3 linked regions of the Callithrix jacchus genome follow. The protein of the gene in region 1 interacts with the protein of each later gene in a biochemical or structural test. Links are inferred from orthologs where the notes say so. Each region holds a gene or a part of one and is shown in the gene's direction. Other genes may lie near its edges.

Region 1 (6,820 bases):
CTCCCGCGTGTGCGTGAGGCTGCTTGGGGCTGTGCTGGCATGAACTTGGGGAGGGGTGCTTATTTCCTCCAGAAAACTCTGTTTCTGTGTTTTTTCATTCCACTTTTCCCTCCACCTCTTCATACCCTTTATTTAAAATGGGGGAGGGCTGGGGGCTGGAGTACCCTGAACCATAGATTCATTGCTGCCATCATCCTTTTGGAAGCTTAGCTTGGAAAAAGAGGAGTGAGATTTATTGCACTTGTAGGTCTAATTAGGGGGGAAGGGGGGCTTCTGGCCCGTTCACTGGTTCCCTCTCTTCTTCACGGAGCTGGGGCCGCCTCCTCCAGAGCTGTGGCCTTGTTTTCACCCCTCTACTTTGAAAGGAAAGTTTGTGACTGAACCGTGCTTTCATAGTTCTGTCATTTTTTTTAAAGCATGATACTCGTTTTATTTCTTCATCAAACTCCACCCTCTCCTTAAATACTGCATACAAATTACAATTTACAACGGCATTTACCGATCCTTCTGATTTGGCCATAATGCATAGACTGCAGCTGGCATGAGCTTCCACATCATTTAATCCCTGTGTTGTATGGGTTTGTGTTTTTTTTTAAAAAAAAAACACAACTTTTGATGTTGTATTTGGATCTGCTTCATGTTCATGTGGCAAGAGATGCAGTACTTTTCTTATAAATATATTTTGCCGTTTACAGTTAAAGTTTATCTCTTGACAATCATTAAAGATGTCTTATAGTCAAATTAGAGAACCAGTCAATTTTGCAGAATGCAGATTACTCTTTCTTGTAATTGACTTTAAAATTATATTTTATATGCCAGAAGAAAAGAAATTGAATTCCTTCAGATCTGAAGGAGCAGGCAAATATGACTACTTCATTTCTAGCTCCAGGGAGATTTTGCAGGCATCTGGAAAAAAAAAAAAAAAAAACTTTAAATTGTACTCTCACTTAATTGAAAAATAACTGCCAAGTTCAAAACTATAATTAGAAAAAAGTATTCTAGCCATTATGTTTCAAGAGCTTAAGTTGCACTGGAACTTGTATTAAAATTAGAATCAAAGCAAACTTAAGAAAATAGGGCAAAACCTGAAATAAGACAGCTACATGTACATGAACATAGCTGTATTAATTTGTTGGGGGGAGAGTTCAGTAGCCCTAACTTTTCCTAAAGTTGTCTTTGTTTACATGGCAATTTAAAACGCTGGCACTGTTGAAGTAAAACATACACATTAAAAAAAAAAAAAAAAAACTTTGGTCAGCTTTAAGAACTCAAAGCATGCTTACGTTTTGCATTCAGATGGTTAATGAATCCAGTGTTTTTGCAGTTGAAAGCTCGTGCATTCACTGGGCAAAAGCTGGCTGCAGGTTGCAGTGGCACCGCACAGGACAGACATTAATTATATTTCCCACTTTTTTCAATAATGTTTGGCTACTGTAAGTTCAATTTTTTTCTTGAAAATTTTCAATTTTCTGTTGCTTTTAATAGTGAGAACTTTGTATGAGGCGACGGGGAGGAGGGGAGAAGGGAGGGGTGCAGGATACTTGTTCTCTACTCAAAAGTTGTAAGTGGTTAGTAGGATATGCAACTTGTGTCTATTTTAAGAATCATTCTATAGCATTTTAAGAGAATATGGAAACATTTTATCAGCAAAACGCTCCTTGCTTGCAAATGAGGAGGCCTCTAGGCATTTGCCTAGAACCACAACCTTCCTCCGGTTTCGCCTTTTATTTAATCCCTGATTTTTTTTTTTTTTTTAATTCTGAAGGGGTGACTGAGGTTTCATTTATCTTAGTGTTCCTCCTTGGTGGCTTAGGGGTTGGGTGGCACTTTCTTGGCCTTGCCAGGGTGGGGACCCTGGAGTCAGGCCTAGTTCCGGCGGGGCTGAGGTGGCCAGGGGCTCAGGCGATGGACACATCGAGCTACGGAGCTGGAGGGCCTCACCCCAGATCTCCTCGCGGTGTGGACTGTGAGAGCGAGCCAGAGAAGATGCGCAGGGCGCGTGTGGCTGCGGGAAGAGCTTCTGCATTGTGTTGGGTACGCTGCGGCGCGGCAATGTTCGCAAGCCCCCTGGATGCACATTGCCTCTTTTCTCTCTTTCTTTTTGTCAGCGGTTCAGCGAGGAAGAATGCCTCCAACCCAGCCCAATCCAGGCCAGTACGCACTCACCAACGGGGACCCCCTCAACGGCCACTGCTACCTGTCCGGCTACATCTCGCTGCTGCTGCGCGCCGAGCCCTACCCCACGTCGCGCTACGGCAGCCAGTGCATGCAGCCCAACAACATTATGGGCATCGAGAACATCTGCGAGCTGGCCGCGCGCCTGCTCTTCAGCGCCGTCGAGTGGGCCCGCAACATCCCCTTCTTCCCGGATCTGCAGATCACCGACCAGGTGTCCCTGCTACGCCTCACCTGGAGCGAGCTGTTCGTGCTCAACGCGGCCCAGTGCTCTATGCCGCTGCACGTGGCGCCGCTGCTGGCCGCCGCCGGCCTGCACGCCTCGCCCATGTCCGCAGACCGCGTCGTGGCCTTCATGGACCACATCCGCATCTTCCAGGAGCAGGTGGAGAAGCTCAAGGCGCTGCACGTCGACTCGGCCGAGTACAGCTGCCTCAAAGCCATCGTGCTGTTCACGTCAGGTGAGGCTGCGGTCGCGGGGAGGGCAGGCCACGCTGCCGGCGAGCGCAGGCCCCGCGCCGCCCGGGCCTGGCCTTTGGAGGCTCCCGCGCGGCGGGTGCGGGGCGGGCCGGGCCCTAGCCGGACACTGAGCCTGGCCCGGGTCTGCGACCCTCGCGCGGGGACCGGCCAGCCGCGCAGCTGCCATCTTGGGAGCTCGGCGGTGCGGGAGCGGAGGCGGCGCGGGTGTGGCCGGCGGGCGACCGGGCCTAGTCGCCCGGACCCTTGAGTGGGACCGCGGCTGCCGCGGATGTGTGTCTGAGGCGGGCGGGGTGGGGGGGAGCAGTGCTGTGGATCTGCCTGGCTGCGCAAGTGAGCGGGTGTTCGTGTGTGTGTGTGTGTGTGTGTGGTTTGTGTTATGTGTGAGCCAGAGCTCAGCGTTTCTGGGGGAGGCGAGGGAAGGAAGAGAACGTGGGAATGTGGCTTCTTACCTTGTGTGGCAAGCTCCTTGGATGAGTTTCCCGACATAGGGAGACACAGAGAAAGGTGGAAAGAGAAGAATACGCACAAATAAATCGTAAATAATCCCGCTTTATTGCTGCCTGATTTTCCCTTATCGGAAACCATTCATGTTTGCAGTTGCTGAGGTTATTGAGGGTCGTAAAAACAGGATTCGATCTAAACAAGAAAGATAAAAAACAAAAGCAATACTATAGAACCCGCAAGTATAGGAGGATTCCCCACCTAGAGATGAATTACAAAGCTATGCAAAACACATAAACATTGGAAATTTAACAGAGTGCCTTAAAAAATATCAAATTATGTGTAGGCAGTGGTAACATGCATGTTAACAATTTCTCTTATGATAGATGGTTCAAATTAACTTCCAGGAAAGTGCATTAATGTTTCCTTTGAAGGGCTCTGGTCTGAGCCTCTGAGAACATTGCCCGCTTTTTATTATTGTAACCTGCAAGAGGGAAATATATAAACACCCAGGACAGCAGGTAATGGGGGGAAATAGAAACAAAGCCAGAGAGAAGGCTGCTTAGACTGGATCTTGGGCCCTGCCCACTGTGAGTAGGGTTAGCTGCAGTTTTACCACCATTATTGGCACTATTGTTTTTAATTCCTCCATTCAGAGAACAAATAAACCATCCTAATAAATCTATCCTGGAGCCAGGCTTTCCAATGGCCAAATTAAAACCATTCTTGAGCAGAGATGGCAAAATCCCTTTCCTAAGGCCTTGTTGAACAGTAAGCAACGGTATAATCTATCAATATTTCTTGGCTTTCATGCGTGAAGAATCGTATTTACATTGTATTAAAATGACTCTTAAATTTGCACAATATTGTAATGTAGCAAATGTAGTATTAATATCGATCTGAACAGCAGATAATTTATTTAGACAAGAGCATCTCATTTGTATGCAGGGTGGCCAGAGCCATGGACTTGGACTGCCCCCCTTTTACTTTCAGTGCAAATGCAGGTCTGCTAGTGAGAGAGGGAGTTATTCTTTCCAAGAGGATAAAGTGCAAACCTTAAAACAAATGGAAGATTTATGGAATAGCCTCCTTGGTGTTTGAATGCATTTTATCTTAATAAGTCTTCTTGATGGAAATGTGTTTTTCAAAAGTGACAAAGAGCCTGGGAAGCAGCAACCAGGCTGCTTCAGCTCTGGCAGGCCTGGGGCCTGGCTGGCTCTCTACTACCAGGCTCTTTAGCCAAATTCATCAGGAAGCAAGCCAGTGTCAGGGAAGCTGGGGTTTCAAAATCTCATCCAGCGAGGTGTCTTGAAGCAGAAATGTGACTTGGAACTGGACAGAAGTCCTCTCAGGAAAGGTCTCCCCTCTTTTTTCCTTACTCCCCCTAAGGTTCTTTGAATCCGCCTTGACTTTGTTAATCTCATGCCCTTTCCCAGAGAGTGGTGAGGACTGTGCAGGCTGCAGGGAAACATTGTGGAATTATTCATGCTTTTCTTTTAACTTTCCATCCTAAAACATTCCTGTGAAAAGTGTTCCTTTAAAAAGTTTTCCAAAGAAGTTTCTTGAATCAAGGCTTCAAGGTGCAAGGAGTGCCTAGAAATGAACAATAACATTATTTTGTTGGAAAATTGCAAGGAGAATATCTGAAAATGGAAATAGAGCTGTCAGTAGTAATTCACCCCCACCCCCCATGCAACACATTTCCACTTTTGACTAAACTTGTTTTGATTGCTAGCCAGAAGGGAATTCATGGGAAGCCTTCTCAAAGTCATCCAACTTTTAAGCAAACTTTGAATGATGGAAAAGACAGTTTTAGACATATTGTCCAATGTGGTTTGCTCTGGCTAAGTATTTGAAGCTGGCACCGGGGTCCCCCGTGGTGGTTTTCACATTTGGCCTCCGGATGGTATGTTTAATCCTTAATATTCTGGACTCCATCCAAGGACTAGGTCATGACCTGAACTTACTTTTTTAAAAAATTCATTAATTCATACATCTAAATATTCCTTCAAATAAATGAGACTTTCTCTGAAAGGAGCCATCTAGTTAACATAAATACAATAAATCCATTTTCAGCACAATAATAACTTTGATTTCTAGTTATAGCAGCTGATAACATCTATATTTCCTGAACACTAAACTCTTCTGAATGCACAACATGAAATATATTCTCTGCACTACAAAGACTAAGCCAGGAGGGCCTGAGCAGTAATGGTTATTTATTTACATAATTTCTTTTCCATATACTGTAGAAGAAATATTGAGAGTTCCCACATTGACACTACCATATAAAAAGTGTGACATGGATTTTGCACATTCTGCCTCATTTTCTTATCTGGAGTATAACTCATGGAGCATAAATATGTACTGCATTACACTCCCTGGTCACCTAGCTTTGTCACCACAACCCCCCAGTTGATCTGGGAACTCATACCTTCTGTCCACATTTGGGGGAATCCTGTTGCAAAGGGGTGAGAGAATATTCAGACTGGGAAGATAGGCCAGAACCAGGGCTCCTGACGAAGGGAAGCCACAGAGATGGCTGGCTGGTACCTGACAGGCAGGCCCAGCTACATACATTTGTCTCCAAAGGAGGGAAGAAATGGAAGCAGTCAGCACAGGGCCCAAGCAGGCTTTTCCTGGGCTTGTCTCTTTTGGAGCCGCCTGTTTGGGAGTCAGGAAATGACCTTGTGTTCTGGGGACCCTAATTGTAAATGTCAGATAGATATTTTACTGACCTGAGGGGATGCCAGATGGATCTTAAAAAAATTAATAATCTGCTGGGGTACCAAGGAGTCCTTTTCACATTGCATTGTCTGGGGCTCAGAATGATCCATAGCATCCAGGCAGATAATGCCTGTAAAGCAAGCTATATGTAAATATGGGTTTGTGTCTGAGTGAGGGTCATTCATCAGGGCCAGGTTAGCAAGCAGGGCCAAACTCAGGGTCCCCTCTCTAAGTAGCAAAGCCCCACGGAGCTCTTGCCACCCTGGCTCTGCTAGCCGTAAAGTCTCGTTTGGCTTCCCAAATCAGACCAGTGTGGATATACCCAATTGGCTGGCTGGAGTAATTAGACATCTGAGAGGAACCTAAGTCTGTATCTGAGGTCAAAGGGGACTTGCCTCAGAAGTTCTTGAATTATCACTAGTTTTATTTGTATTTTTGCTCGAGGCCATAGCCTTGTAGATGAAGGTGTTAGAATGCTTTGTAAATCCCAGTTCTTCAAATATAAGGACAGAAAGCTCAGAAACTCAGCAGACACATGTTTTGCTTTAAATCATTTGTTGTGTCTTCATAGGTTCACACTTGCCCATTCACAATTATACAATCTCATTTTGGGGGCATTGCCATGCATGAATTTTCTTCCTAGATCTATATATTAGCAAACTCTGCCTTTGATCTCTAGTCAACCTCCTGACTGGCTAAGGGCTCCTCTGTGATCTTCCTGTTTTTTAAAAAATATTTATTATTAATACAAGAAACAAGTGGGTATTTGAACTAGGAGAGGACACCTTTACTCCATTACTCCATTCCTCTTATTCCATCTTTCCCACCCTTTGCTTGCCTCTAGTTAGTTTATACAGTATAATCTGCTGTCCTGAAATATTTTTAGATGACCAAGACAGGCCTTGGTTAACATGAGATAAGCAAACAGATTTTGAGATGCTGTCATTGTGTGCGGGTGCATTTTTCTCTCTTGGTCCTGCCACCAAAAGCTTATCTC
Region 2 (6,820 bases), on another chromosome or scaffold:
TGCATAGTAATTTTCTCCGACTTGTGAGAATTAATGTCTTGGCATGGGGGGAGGGGGCGCAGGGACTGTCAGGTTCCCTTGCCAGTGTCCCTCACTCATGCGCCTGCCTCCCTGGCTGTCTCCTCCCTTGATCTATGACTCATTTCTGCACTATCGGTAGGAGTTCTCTGCTTAAAAAAATGTAGCAATTGAAAGGCACCAGTAGGGAGAAAAACACATGTCTCCTGCACAGTGTATTCCTGACCACCTCTCTCTAGCTCGGAACGTGGAATCTGTAATCCTCCCATTTGGGAGGGGATGCTCCAGAGGCTTCAGGGGGTGGGGAAGGCTTGAAATCCCCCCCAAACCGGGCTGGGGCTTTTCCAGGCGTTTTTGTGTCTCCACACTCCTGGGCGGTGGGCGTGTTCGCTGGGTGAGTGCGCATGTGTGAGGAACGGAGCAGGAGCATCTGCAAAGTCCCTCTAGAAGAGAGAAGGGTGACAGACCCCTGTGGAATGCTTAAACCCAAGAAGGCATCAAGAATGAGCTTCTGTATCATTGCCCTGTTTTGGAGCCAAAGAAGCATTTTAGGGGCCTTGTTTTTAAACTTTTTTTGTGTGTGCGTAGACCTCCAAAGAAAGCGTTCTTTTTGGAGTGTCTTGCAGGTCTTTGTAGTGGGCTTTGCTGTGTTCAGAGCACACCCTCTTGCTTTCTTTGCTGGGCAGTGCTGGTGCCTTGGAAAGGACCATAGGGAGTGGGGCAGGTATCGGAATGGAAAGTGAGAGAAGGATGGTGACCCTTTGCTGCGTGCTTCCTCTGTCCCTGGCTCTGACCCTTCCTTTAAAGCTGAGGGAGCTGAGGCTCTGAGAAAGTGACTCACCTTCAACCAGGAGGCCAGGAGACGGCTGAGGAGGAATTCGAATCCAGGCCTCTCGGTCCTGAAGGCTGTATGGCGTGGGAGCTCTGGTGGCTTCCTCTGTGCACGTGTGGCTGCACACCCTGTCCCCAGGCCTCAAGCGCTCCTTAAGTGCTTTCTGGATTTCCCAGCTGCACTTTTAAAGGCAGATACCCCTCCTCTGAGGAAGGATGGGGGCTAGGAGGTAGGCTGGGACAGGTACTGAGGCTGTTTTTCCAAGTTAAGAGTCACGTGATGTAAAGTTGACCATTTTAAATTGTACACTCACAATGTCATGCAGCTGTCACTCCTAAGTCCCGAGAATTTTCATCACCCCCCAAAGAGACTCTGTACCCACTAGCCTCCCTTCTTGCCCCTCCTGGCTCCCTAGCCCCTGGCAACCGCTACTTTCTGTGTCCATGGATTGGCGGCTTCTGAACATTTCATATCTGTGGAATCATGCAGTATGTGGGTCCTTTCATCACTTTGGCTTTTGCAATAGTTTCAGATTTCTTGAGTTCCACCTTTGGGCAGGGCTCTGGGTTTAAGCTGCCCCATGGGGAAACCTCTCCCAGGGTAGAAGGTGCTCTGAGAGCCCCAGAGAAGCCCCGAAGAGCTTGGGATTTGAAGCCCCTCTCCAGGTTGCCCCCCTCCCCTCAGCCTCAGTTGAGCTGGCCCCTGGAGCAGGTCGACTTCAGGAAGGTCAGAATTCCTAATGAGGCCCTGGGGAACCTGTCCAGGGCGGCCCAGCCCCCGACCCCTATGCAGGGCGCATCTCGTGGTGTGTGACATCGCCTTTACAGACCCTGGCTTGAGCCCCACCTTGGACCTTTCCATGAGAAGGGTGTGGCCAGTTGCCTGTTTTCTAGCTGCTCTCCAACTGTTCCTCCCGCCACGGACACAGAGTCAGCTCCTTAGCACCTGGGACAACCTTACCAGGCCTCGAGGTGCTTCTGCCGGTTTCTCCATCATGATAAATGGTGCTGGCTGTGTCATGGCCTCACACAGAACCCAGGAACCGGAGCTTGGGTTTGGCCTTTGCAGCTACCAATGGCGGGATTGAGCCCAGGATCTCAGTCCTCCTCCCCTGACTATAGATCCTACGAGCCCTGGTCCCTTCACTCCATTCACTGCAGCCCTAGAGGGAAGCAGAGCATTGCGGGCTCTGGAGACACAGCTGGGTTCCAGTCTCAGATATCCCCGAGCCTCAGTTTCCCCACCACAGAATGTGGATGTTTGCTGAGCGAAGTGGCTGTCATGATGATGGATGTCCTCAGTGGTCTGCAGGGAAGGCCCACATAGGGATTTGAGACCACCAGTGGACAGGAGCACAGGCAGCGTGCAGGCCAGGGAGGTTCAGGTCAGGGCAGGCTTCCAGGAGGGGGCAGGTGCTGACCTTCCTTGAGGAACGGCACTAAATCTAGGACATGGCCTTCCCATCAGCATCTGAGACTGAAACGGTTTACAGGTTCCTCAGCCATGTCCTCCAAGGGCTAACCCTAGCTCAGAAACACCCTGGGCCCTAGGCCTAACCTAATATGGGGTCTTCGGTAGCCCAGAGGGGTCCGAGCAGTGTTGGCGTTAGCTTTGACCTCTTGACGGGACACTGGCAGTTGGCAGTCCCTAAGCAGGGGGTCTTGTTCAATGCCCCAGTGCCTCAATCCTGGATAACCCATGTTTCAGAGAAACCAGGGTACAGAGAAAGAGCCCTGGTTCTGGGGCCAGACAGCTGGGGTTTGGATGAGCTGCTGATGTCTGCAGTTTTCTGCAGTCACGCCAGCCTGTGCAATGGGTATCCTAAGCCCCACCCCCCGTGAGTGTGTTAGGAAGTTCAGTTCAATGAAGACTGACAGGCTCCTGGCTCACGGTGGCTCACAGGCCCCTGTGGCTCTCCTTGGGCTGGGGGGATCCATGTGGGGGCCCTGGAGTGGGCAGACCCCCAGCCGTGCAGACCTGTGCTGGGCCTCCCTGCCGGAGCTGGCTGGGCCCAGCTGCCCGTCCTCTTGTTGATGTTTCCTTTCTGTCTCTCTGATGCTTTCCTGTTCAATTATTTGCCCAGGGAATTTGGGCTTCTTCACTTGTGGTTTTGGCAAGGGCTTCACACAAATGTTTTGCCCTGGTGGTCTCTTAGCCATTTAAGATAAACGGCTAAATCAAACGCAGGCCTTGCCAGGGAGCTGAGCGAGCTGTGGGGTTGGGCAGAGGCGGGGCCGACCCTGGCCCTGCGTCCTCGCTCTGTCACATGGCGGGAGGCCTCCCAAGCCAGGCTGAGATGTTAGGAGTGGCTGAGCAGCGCCAGGGTTTTCTTGGGGTGTTGTGGGGGTGAAAAAGCCTTCTGAAGGGCTTTGGGGCTGGGGTGCACATGCTTGGTGCTTGGGGCTGAAGAGAGCCCCTGCAGGTAGTCTGCAAGCCGGGAGACTCTTAGTGCTCAGACACCTGGAGGCAGGCCGAGCTGTCCCTGGCCTGTACGAGCAACCCATCCTGCAACCCATCAGCAACACAGGGGAGGTGCTGAGCTACCCAGCTCTTCCAGGGAGGGGTAGCCCGAAGTTTTGGAAACAGATCCCCAAATGGAACCTGCTTGATTGCTCCAGAAGCCCCCACGTCAGGGGTCCTTCCTGAGAGCGGGGCCCTCACAGCCCCCATTCACCCAGCCCCCTGCACAAGGCCCCCAGAGATGGGGTCCTGCCTCCTCAACAGCCCAGCCTGGCAGCTGTGGAAACAGGGCCCTTCCCAGAGCCCCCTGTCCACCTCCCCATGCCCATTCCCCTGCCTGTGTCCCGATTGCTTTCCCTGCAGTGCCTGGCACCCCTGGGGCCTCCCACCCCTGAAGGGTGGCCTGAGCCGAGCCCCGCGCCCCGGGCCCCGTCCCACCCCGTGCCCCTCACTTGGTCCAGGGCCCGACTGACCAGTCTTTTCTATTGTTTTTTCTCCAGGGCCGTGCAGGCCTGCCCAGCTGCCAGCGGTGGCCCCCATAACCGCCTCCTCCCACCCTCACTCATCCGTGATCACTTCACCTCTGCGGGCCCTGGGCGCTCTCCCGCCCTGCCTCCCCCTGCCGTGCTGCAGCGCGCGCCCGGTCTCGGGTGACGGGACTCAGGGTGAGGGTCAGACGGAGGCTCCCTTTGGATGCCAGTGTCAGTTGTCAGGTAACAGACGACGCGGTGGTGGGGGGTGGGCCCCCGGGGATGGCGGGGTGTGCCGTGGGCAGTGCTGGAGCAAGGTGGGGGCCCAGGGAGGAAGGGCAGCTCCCACCCAGAAGGCTTTTTGGGGTGCCAGGGGAAGTGGTGAAGAATGTTCACTGAACTACGAGCCAGTGCCCAGTGCCCCATGGCAAGAGTCCCCACCGTGCCCCCACCCGTTCTGAGAGTCTTGTTCCCAGAATGCATCCCTAGCCTCCCAATCCCGTTCTTTGGGTTGGATAACACTTAATCGTATAACACTTAACATCTGAGGTTTTCTTCTGCCCTTGCCACTGCCACCCCTTCCCCCACCCCAGACAACCCCCTGCCCTGCCAAGACAAGGCTAGGGGAGGATTCCTTGCTTGTCTGTGTACATTGCTGGAGCCATCCAAAATGCTGAGTTTCTCTTTGGGAGAATGTGTTGCCCATTAACTTTGAAAAAGAAAGTGGCTCAAAAGGAGCCTCCTACAAAGCTGCGGCCACGAGAGGGAGTGAAACCCTGTGGGGTGTGTGAGGGGCAGGGGTGGGGGCTGAGTTCCTGCTGTGCGTCCAGCTCTGGGCCAGATTCAGACACAGCTGTGTTTGTGCCTACTCGTCCTGCTTTCCTGGGAGGGCGGTGTCACTGCCTATTCTACAGATGGGCAGACAGGGCAGGTTGGCGACACAACACTGTCCTCCTCTATGTGCTCTGCCTCTCCCCAGGTGGAACCCAAGATCTTGCTCCACCTAGGGGTCTCTGGGAATTCTTGGGGTCCCTGGGAAGTCAGAGGCAAAGGGCCCTCTCACAAGTCTGTCTCCACAGCGTCTCAGCAGGGCCTGGTGTGAAAGTGCTGTGGCCACACAAGCCAGGATGCTGACACAGACACACGTGGCAATCGGCTGTGGCCTGGTTGCTGTGGCAGGGGCAGGAAAGGAGAGAGGGTGGGTGCAGAGCTGGGGCAGATTTGATTGGTCCCTGCTTTGTCACCAGGCATGGTGCAGGCTTTCTCTTGACTTGAGTTGTGAAAGGAAAACTATTTTTATTGGGCAGCTTTTGCTTTGAATTGAAGCTGTCCCCAGGGACAGTCCCTGTTGGAGCCATAGCTCTGCAGAAGGCCGCAGGCAGCCCCTGCTCCAGGGTCCAGAGCTCCCTGGGCGCCAGAGCTCCCTAGTAGGGTGGCCTGGAGCCTTTAGTATACCCTCCCTGCTGTGACAGGTGGTGACATTATAGGATCTGGCTTCCAAGAGGGAGTTCTGGCTTCTTACTGGGCTTGTGCCTTAAATGCACAAAGCAAAACCCAAAATCTCCAGGGAAGGAATCAGAACCACTTGCAAAGACGCCGTCTCCCCGTTCTAGGCTGTGCTGGTCCCCAGGTGCTCAGGCCTCCCGTCCTGGCTCAGTAAATCTGTTCTGAGTCTGCAGAAGGCCCTGCTTGCTGAGCAAGGGGTGCCTGCTTCTTCTGGGTGGTTGCCCTGTTCTCACGGCTTCCTGTCATTAGTGTTGCAGCCTCCGCAGCCACTGGGGGGGCCGTGCTATCAAAGATCAACCTGAGTGTTTATTACTGGACTTGGTCAAGTTCTGCGGCAGCACAGAAATCTGATCTCATCAGAGGCTTACCCAGGGCTTTGCTTAACCCTCTGCTGGCCCTGCTGAGATGCTGCCGAAGTAGATGAGACTCAGCTAGAGGACTGAGCCCCTCCCTCAAGTGGCCAGGCCCACTTTGCATCTTTGTATGGTGCTGAGCAGGAGCTGTTATCATCCCCATTCTGCAGATGGAGAAGCAAGGCCTTGGGGAGGGAGAGTGGCTTGCCAGGGTGGCAGAGCTGGGATTTGTCCTTGGGTGCCTTCTGAAAGGCCACCCCTCTTTCCATGGAACCATGCTGCCTCTGCCCACATCCATGGGAGGTCAAATGAACTTTCCACTGCCTTGGCTCTGGTGGACTCTGCCAACAGCAAGTCCTCATACGTGCCACTGGGATCCTCATGAGGACTGTGTGTGGAGGGCCTTCTATGTGCTGTACGGTGCTGGGCATTTGTGTGCTTTCTGGAATTTAATCCTCACAGCAACCTAATGCTTTACTCTCCTCATTTTACAGATGAGAAAATAATGCTTGGAAATGTTGAGGTCTCACAGCTCACATCCATCCATCTGTCCATCCATCCGTCCATCCATCCATCCATCCATCCACCCACCCACCCACCCACCCACCCATCCATTCATCCATCCGTCCATCCATCCGTCCATCCATCCATTCATCCATCTGTCCATCCATCCACCCACCCATCCATTCATCGATCCGTCCATCTACCCATCCATCCATCCATCCACCCACCCATCCATTCATCCATCCATCCGTCCATCCATCCATTCATCCATCTGTCCATCCATCCACCCACCCATCCATTCATCGATCCGTCCATCTACCCATCCATCCATCCATCCACCCACCCATCCATTCATCCATCCATCCGTCCGTCCATCCGTCCATCCGTCCATCCATCCATCCACTCATCCATTCATCTGTCTTTCCATCTGTCCATCCATCCATTTGTCCATCCATCCACCCACCCATCCATTCATCGATCCGTCCATCTACCCATCCATCCATCCATCCACCCACCCATCCATTCATCTGTCTTTCCATCTGTCCATCCATCCATTCATCCATCCATCCATCCATCCAGCCTTTGTTCATCTGTCCGTCCGTCTATCCATCCATCCATCCATCCATCCATCCATCCATCCATCCGTCCGTCCGTCTATCTGTCCATCCATCCATCCA
Region 3 (6,820 bases), on another chromosome or scaffold:
GAGGGGAGAATAGAAAGCTAGGATTTGGGAAGCCAAAAAGTTGCCTTGGGTCATCTTGTCCGTTTCTCACTTAATGAGGAGGAAATAGAGGCACATGGAGATGAGACGGCTTGCCCCACACTATGGCTGATGGGACTGGAAAGTTTAGAAGATAATTGTTGAGGTGCTTAGAATGTAGGGACCTTCATCCTCAAGCCAGGATTTTTCTGCTTTAGGGAACTGGCTATAAAATTCCTAGAACCGAGTTTAATGGCAGGGAGACTGGTTGGGCCAATATTTACTGGGTTCGCACGCTGCACACTCAGTTGTGCCAGGCACAATTTAGGCACAGGGCTAGGCCAGTGAGGGCTTAGGCCTTGGGGTTGAGGGGTGGGGGCAGGGAAGGCTGGAGGTGGAACATAAATAAGCAATTGCTGATACCCGCCTCAGTGATTAAACATTGATGTTGGTGTTGTATTATTTTGCAGGTAAAGATGAGCCCAGCAGCTACACATGTACAACTTGCAAACAGCCATTCACCAGTGCATGGTTTCTCTTGCAACACGCACAGAACACTCATGGATTAAGAATCTACTTAGAAAGCGAACACGGAAGTCCCCTGACCCCGCGGGTTGGTATCCCTTCAGGACTAGGTGCAGAATGTCCTTCCCAGCCACCTCTCCATGGGATTCATATTGCAGACAATAACCCCTTTAACCTGCTAAGAATACCAGGATCAGTATCGAGAGAGGCTTCCGGCCTGGCAGAAGGGCGCTTTCCACCCACTCCCCCCCTGTTTAGTCCACCACCGAGACATCACTTGGACCCCCACCGCATAGAGCGCCTGGGGGCAGAAGAGATGGCCCTGGCCACCCATCACCCGAGTGCCTTTGACAGGGTGCTGCGGTTGAATCCAATGGCTATGGAGCCTCCCGCCATGGATTTCTCTAGGAGACTTAGAGAGCTGGCAGGGAACACGTCTAGCCCACCGCTGTCCCCAGGCCGGCCCAGCCCTATGCAAAGGTTACTGCAACCATTCCAGCCAGGTAGCAAGCCACCCTTCCTGGCGACGCCCCCCCTCCCTCCTCTGCAATCCGCCCCTCCTCCCTCCCAGCCCCCCGTCAAGTCCAAGTCATGCGAGTTCTGCGGCAAGACGTTCAAATTTCAGAGCAACCTGGTGGTGCACCGGCGCAGCCACACAGGCGAGAAGCCCTACAAGTGCAACCTGTGCGACCACGCGTGCACCCAGGCCAGCAAGCTGAAGCGCCACATGAAGACGCACATGCACAAGTCGTCCCCCATGACAGTCAAGTCCGACGACGGTCTCTCCACCGCCAGCTCCCCGGAACCCGGCACCAGCGACCTGGTGGGCAGCGCCAGCAGCGCGCTCAAGTCCGTGGTGGCCAAGTTCAAGAGCGAGAACGACCCCAACCTGATCCCGGAGAACGGGGACGAGGAGGAAGAGGAGGACGACGAGGAAGAGGAAGAAGAGGAGGAAGAGGAGGAGGAGGAGCTGACAGAGAGCGAGAGGGTGGACTACGGCTTCGGGCTGAGCCTGGAGGCAGCGCGCCACCACGAGAACAGCTCGCGGGGCGCGGTGGTGGGCGTGGGCGACGAGAGCCGTGCCCTGCCCGACGTCATGCAGGGCATGGTGCTCAGCTCCATGCAGCACTTCAGCGAGGCCTTCCACCAGGTCCTGGGCGAGAAGCATAAGCGCGGCCACCTGGCCGAGGCTGAGGGCCACAGGGACACTTGTGACGAAGACTCGGTGGCCGGCGAGTCGGACCGCATAGACGATGGCACTGTTAACGGCCGCGGCTGCTCCCCGGGAGAGTCGGCCTCGGGGGGCCTGTCCAAAAAGCTGCTGCTGGGCAGCCCCAGCTCGCTGAGCCCCTTCTCTAAGCGCATCAAGCTCGAGAAGGAGTTCGACCTGCCCCCGGCCGCGATGCCCAACACGGAAAACGTGTACTCGCAGTGGCTCGCCGGCTACGCGGCCTCCAGGCAGCTCAAAGATCCCTTCCTTAGCTTCGGAGACTCCAGACAATCGCCTTTTGCCTCCTCGTCGGAGCACTCCTCGGAGAACGGGAGCTTGCGCTTCTCCACGCCGCCCGGGGAGCTGGACGGAGGGATCTCGGGGCGCAGCGGCACGGGAAGTGGAGGGAGCACGCCCCATATTAGTGGTCCGGGCCCGGGCAGGCCCAGCTCAAAAGAGGGCAGACGCAGCGACACTTGTGAGTACTGTGGGAAAGTCTTCAAGAACTGTAGCAATCTCACTGTCCACAGGAGAAGCCACACGGGCGAAAGGCCTTATAAATGCGAGCTGTGCAACTATGCCTGTGCCCAGAGTAGCAAGCTCACCAGGCACATGAAAACGCATGGCCAGGTGGGGAAGGACGTTTACAAATGTGAAATTTGTAAGATGCCTTTTAGCGTGTACAGTACCCTGGAGAAACACATGAAAAAATGGCACAGTGATCGAGTGTTGAATAATGATATAAAAACTGAATAGAGGTATATTAATACCCCTCCCTCACTCCCACCTGACACCCCCTTTTTCACCACTCCCCTTCCCCATCGCCCTCCAGCCCCACTCCCTGTAGGATTTTTTTCTAGTCCCATGTGATTTAAACAAACAAACAAACAAACAAACAGAAGTAATGAAGCTAAGAATATGAGAGTGCTTGTCACCAGCACACCTGTTTTTTTTTCTTTTTCTTCTTTTTTCTTTTTCCTTTTTTTTTTTCCTTTATGTTCTCACCGTTTGAATGCATGATCTGTATGGGGCAATACTATTGCATTTTACGCAAACTTTGAGCCTTTCTCTTGTGCAATAATTTACATGTTGTGTATGTTTTTTTTTAAACTTAGACAGCATGTATGGTATGTTATGGCTATTTTAAATTGTCCCTAATTCGTTGCTGAGCAAACATGTTGCTGTTTCCAGTTCCGTTCTGAGAGAAAAAGAGAGAGAGAGAGAAAAAGACCATGCTGCATACATTCTGTAAAACATATCATGTACAGTTTTATTTTATAACGTGGAGGAAAAACAGTCTTTGGATTAACCCTTTATAGACAGAATAGATAGCGCTGAAAAAAATCTCTATGAGCTAAATATCTGTCTCTAAAGGGTTAAATGTATCAATTAGAGAGGAAAAAAAGGCCTTGAATTGACAAATTAACAACAACAAAAAAACAAGTTTATTCTATCATTTGGTTTTAAAATATGAGTGCCTTGGATCTATTAAAACCACATTGATGGTTCTTTCTACGTGTTATAAACTTGTAGCTTAATTCAGCATTGGGTGAGGTAATAAACCTTAGGAACTAGCATATAATTCTATATTGTATTTCTCACAACAATGGCTACCTAAAACTATGACCCATTATGTCCTAGTTAATCATCATTTTCCTTTAGTTTAATTTTATAAACAAAACTGATTATACCAGTATAAAAGCTACTTTGCTCCTGGTGAGAGCTTAAAAGAAATGGGCTGTTTTGCCCAAAGTTGTATTTTTTTTAAACAATGATTAAAATTGAATGTGTAATGTGCAAAAGCCCTGGAACACAATTCAATACATTAGTAAGGAGTTCATTTTGTGAAGATATTTGCTTTAATAATGTCTTTTAAAAAAATTCTGGCACCAAAAGAAATAGATCCAGATCTACTTGGTTGTCAAGTGGACAATCAAATGAGAAACTTTAAGATCTTGTATACCATATTGAAAAGAAGAGGCTGACAATAAGATTTGACAAAGGGAACAGAAGAAAAAAATACGATTTATTAGCACAACGTGGTACTGTTTGCCATTTAAAACTAGAACAGGTATATAAGCTAATATTGATATAATGATGATTAACTATGAATTCTTAAGACTTGCATTTAAATGTGACATTCTTAAAGAAAGAAGAGAAAGAATTTTTAAGAGTAGCAGTATATATGTCTGTGCTCCCTAAAAGTTGTACTTCATTTCTTTTCCATACACTGTGTGCTATTTGTGTTAACATGGAAGAGGATTCATTGTTTTTATTTTATTTTTTATTTTTTTATTTTTTTATTAAGCTAGCATCTGCCCCAGTTGGTGTTCAAATAGCACTTGACTCTGCCTGTGATATCTGTATCTTTTCTCTAATCAGAGATACAGAGGTTGAGTATAAAATAAACCTGCTCAGATAGGACAATTAAGTGCACTGTACAATTTTCCCAGTTTACAGGTCTATACTTAAGGGAAAAGTTGCAAGAATGCTGAAAAAAAAAAAATTGAACACAATCTCATTGATGAGCATTTTTAAAAAACTAAAAAAAAAAACCTTTGCCAGCCATTTACTTGACTATTGAGCTTACTTACTTGGACGCAACATTGCAAGCGCTGTGAATGGAAACAGAATACACTTAACATAGAAATGAATGATTGCTTTCGCTTCTACAGTGCAAGGATTTTTTTGTACAAAACTTTTTTAAATATAAATGTTAAGAAAAAAATTTTTTAAAAAAAACACTTCATTATGTTTAGGGGGGAACTGCATTTTAGGGTTCCATTGTCTTGGTGGTGTTACAAGACTTGTTATCCATTTAAAAATGGTAGTGGAAATTCTATGCCTTGGATACACACCGCTCTTCAGGTTGTAAAAAAAAAAAAACATACATTGGGGAAAGGTTTAAGATTATATAGTACTTAAATATAGGAAAATGCACACTTCATGTTGATTCCTATGCTAAAATACATTTATGGTCTTTTTTCTGTATTTCTAGAATGGTATTTGAATTAAATGTTCATCTAGTGTTAGGCACTATAGTATTTATATTGAAGCTTGTATTTTTAACTGTTGCTTGTTCTCTTAAAAGGTATCAATGTACCTTTTTTGGTAGTGGAAAAAAAAAAGACAGGCTGCCACAGTATATTTTTTTAATTTGGCAGGATAATATAGTGCAAATTATTTGTATGCTTCAAAAAAAAAAGAGAGAAACAAAAAAGTGTGACATTACAGACGAGAAGCCATATAATGGCGGTTTGGGGGAGCCTGCTAGAATGTCACATGGATGACTGTCATAGGGGTTGTACATATCCTTTTTTGTTCCTTTTTCCTGCTGCCATACTGTATGCAGTACTGCAAGCTAATAACGTTGGTTTGTTATGTAGTGTGCTTTTTGTCCCTTTCCTTCTATCACCCTACATTCCAGCATCTTACCTTCATATGCAGTAAAAGAAAGAAAGAAAAAAAAGGAAAAAAAAAAAAAACCAATGTTTTGCAGTTTTTTTCATTGCCAAAAACTAAATGGTGCTTTATATTTAGATTGGAAAGAATTTCATATGCAAAGCATATTAAAGAGAAAGCCCGCTTTAGTCAATACTTTTTTGTAAATGGCAATGCAGAATATTTTGTTATTGGCCTTTTCTATTCCTGTAATGAAAGCTGTTTGTCGTAACTTGAAATTTTATCTTTTACTATGGGAGTCACTATTTATTATTGCTTATGTGCCCTGTTCAAAACAGAGGCACTTAATTTGATCTTTTATTTTTCTTTGTTTTTATTTTTTTTTTTTATTTAGATGACCAAAGGTCATTACAACCTGGCTTTTTATTGTATTTGTTTCTGGTCTTTGTTAAGTTCTATTGGAAAAACCACTGTCTGTGTTTTTTTGGCAGTTGTCTGCATTAACCTGTTCATACACCCATTTTGTCCCTTTATTGAAAAAAATAAAAAAAAATTAAAGTACACATTGTAAGCTTCTTGTGTCCTCATTTGACACACTCTGTAAATTACTTTCAAGAAAATAACAGGTTTTAAGAGAAGGCCAGTCAGTCTTTTTCAGGATTATTTCTATGGGCATTCTGATGCGTGTATTATACCCTAAAGGAACATTAAGTACTTACTATATTAAAATAGACATACCTCAACCCATGGAAATAGTTTTAAGGCTTTACAGTTCTAGAATAATTTTCAAGATATGGAAAGTGTTTTCAGTCTGATGTTAAAAACTTACTCCATCTCTTAGCAGAAATCCATTCAAATATAAGTGAAAAAACTTGCTGGTAATAGCATCTTAAATTTTTATTTCCTTTGGATTTTTTGCTGTTCTTGTTGTCTAAAAGTTCTTTTCTACTCTCCCATCCTTGCCTTATAATATAATGTAAAAATGATTTTTAAAAAAAAAATCATCTGTTTAGTTTCCATGTAAGACTCTTTCCTTGTAACAAAATAATCCCACTTTTCAAATCTAAAAATCTGGAAACAAAGGCATCAGGTAACAAACATAAAAATAAAAAAAGAGGGAGAAAAAGAGAGAGAAAGAGAGAGAAAAAAGCAGCCACTAGGGGTTCAGCCAGACAAGCCAGACATAGTGAAGTCTTTAGAATCAGCCACTGATTTCCTGAGATGCATAGTGGTTTGCCTTGTGGTTCTGAGATCCCAGGGACCCTAGACGCTACAAATTACTTCAGGTGTTTTGATAGGGTCTTCCTGGCTGACTGCAAATAAGGGTGGGAATACCCTTCAGTTACCTTTTGACCAGCCAGTTGGGTCTATTTAAAAAACCATTCCTTAGAAATCTGTGTTGTTAGTTTTACAAATACTGCATGTTGCAGCATCTATTTGCTTGACTAAAACATACCTCTGTGATATCGTCTCCCTGTACCCAGTGTAGATGAATTAATATGACATTGTTCTTATTTTTGTAAAAAACCAAAACAAAAGCTGTTCTGTTGTCTTCTTGTGGTAGCATTTTTTTGTTGCTCAGTTCTTATGCCCTAGTGCCTGTGAGGTGGCCTTTTCATGTCATGCCTTTTATCTTAGGCAAGAATACTTTCATCTTTCTAAAGTAGAGAGAGTCTATGTCTTCTG

Evidence for each region.
Region 2: the proteins of NR2F1 (region 1) and BCL11B form a complex in vitro, tested with the Homo sapiens proteins (2 studies listed by BioGRID). The link is inferred for Callithrix jacchus from reciprocal best matches to the Homo sapiens genes NR2F1 and BCL11B.
Region 3: the proteins of NR2F1 (region 1) and BCL11A form a complex in vitro, tested with the Homo sapiens proteins (2 studies listed by BioGRID). The link is inferred for Callithrix jacchus from reciprocal best matches to the Homo sapiens genes NR2F1 and BCL11A.

What each region holds. Positions count from the first base shown.
Region 1 is NC_133503.1:117,067,208-117,074,027, reverse strand, and holds part of NR2F1 (COUP transcription factor 1), read left to right. Parts: exon of another isoform or gene 1-9; intron 10-1,324; exon of another isoform or gene 1,325-1,420; coding exon of another isoform or gene 1,421-1,433; intron 1,434-2,108; coding exon 2,109-2,636; intron 2,637-6,820. UniProt on the Homo sapiens protein: Coup (chicken ovalbumin upstream promoter) transcription factor binds to the ovalbumin promoter and, in conjunction with another protein (S300-II) stimulates initiation of transcription. Binds to both direct repeats and palindromes of the 5'-AGGTCA-3' motif.
Region 2 is NC_133509.1:134,118,041-134,124,860, reverse strand, and holds part of BCL11B (B-cell lymphoma/leukemia 11B), read left to right. Parts: intron 1-3,810; coding exon 3,811-4,023; intron 4,024-6,820. UniProt on the Homo sapiens protein: Key regulator of both differentiation and survival of T-lymphocytes during thymocyte development in mammals.
Region 3 is NC_133515.1:53,679,129-53,685,948, forward strand, and holds part of BCL11A (BCL11 transcription factor A), read left to right. Parts: intron 1-467; coding exon 468-2,488; 3' UTR 2,489-2,490; intron 2,491-6,820. UniProt on the Homo sapiens protein: Transcription factor. Associated with the BAF SWI/SNF chromatin remodeling complex. Binds to the 5'-TGACCA-3' sequence motif in regulatory regions of target genes, including a distal promoter of the HBG1 hemoglobin subunit gamma-1 gene.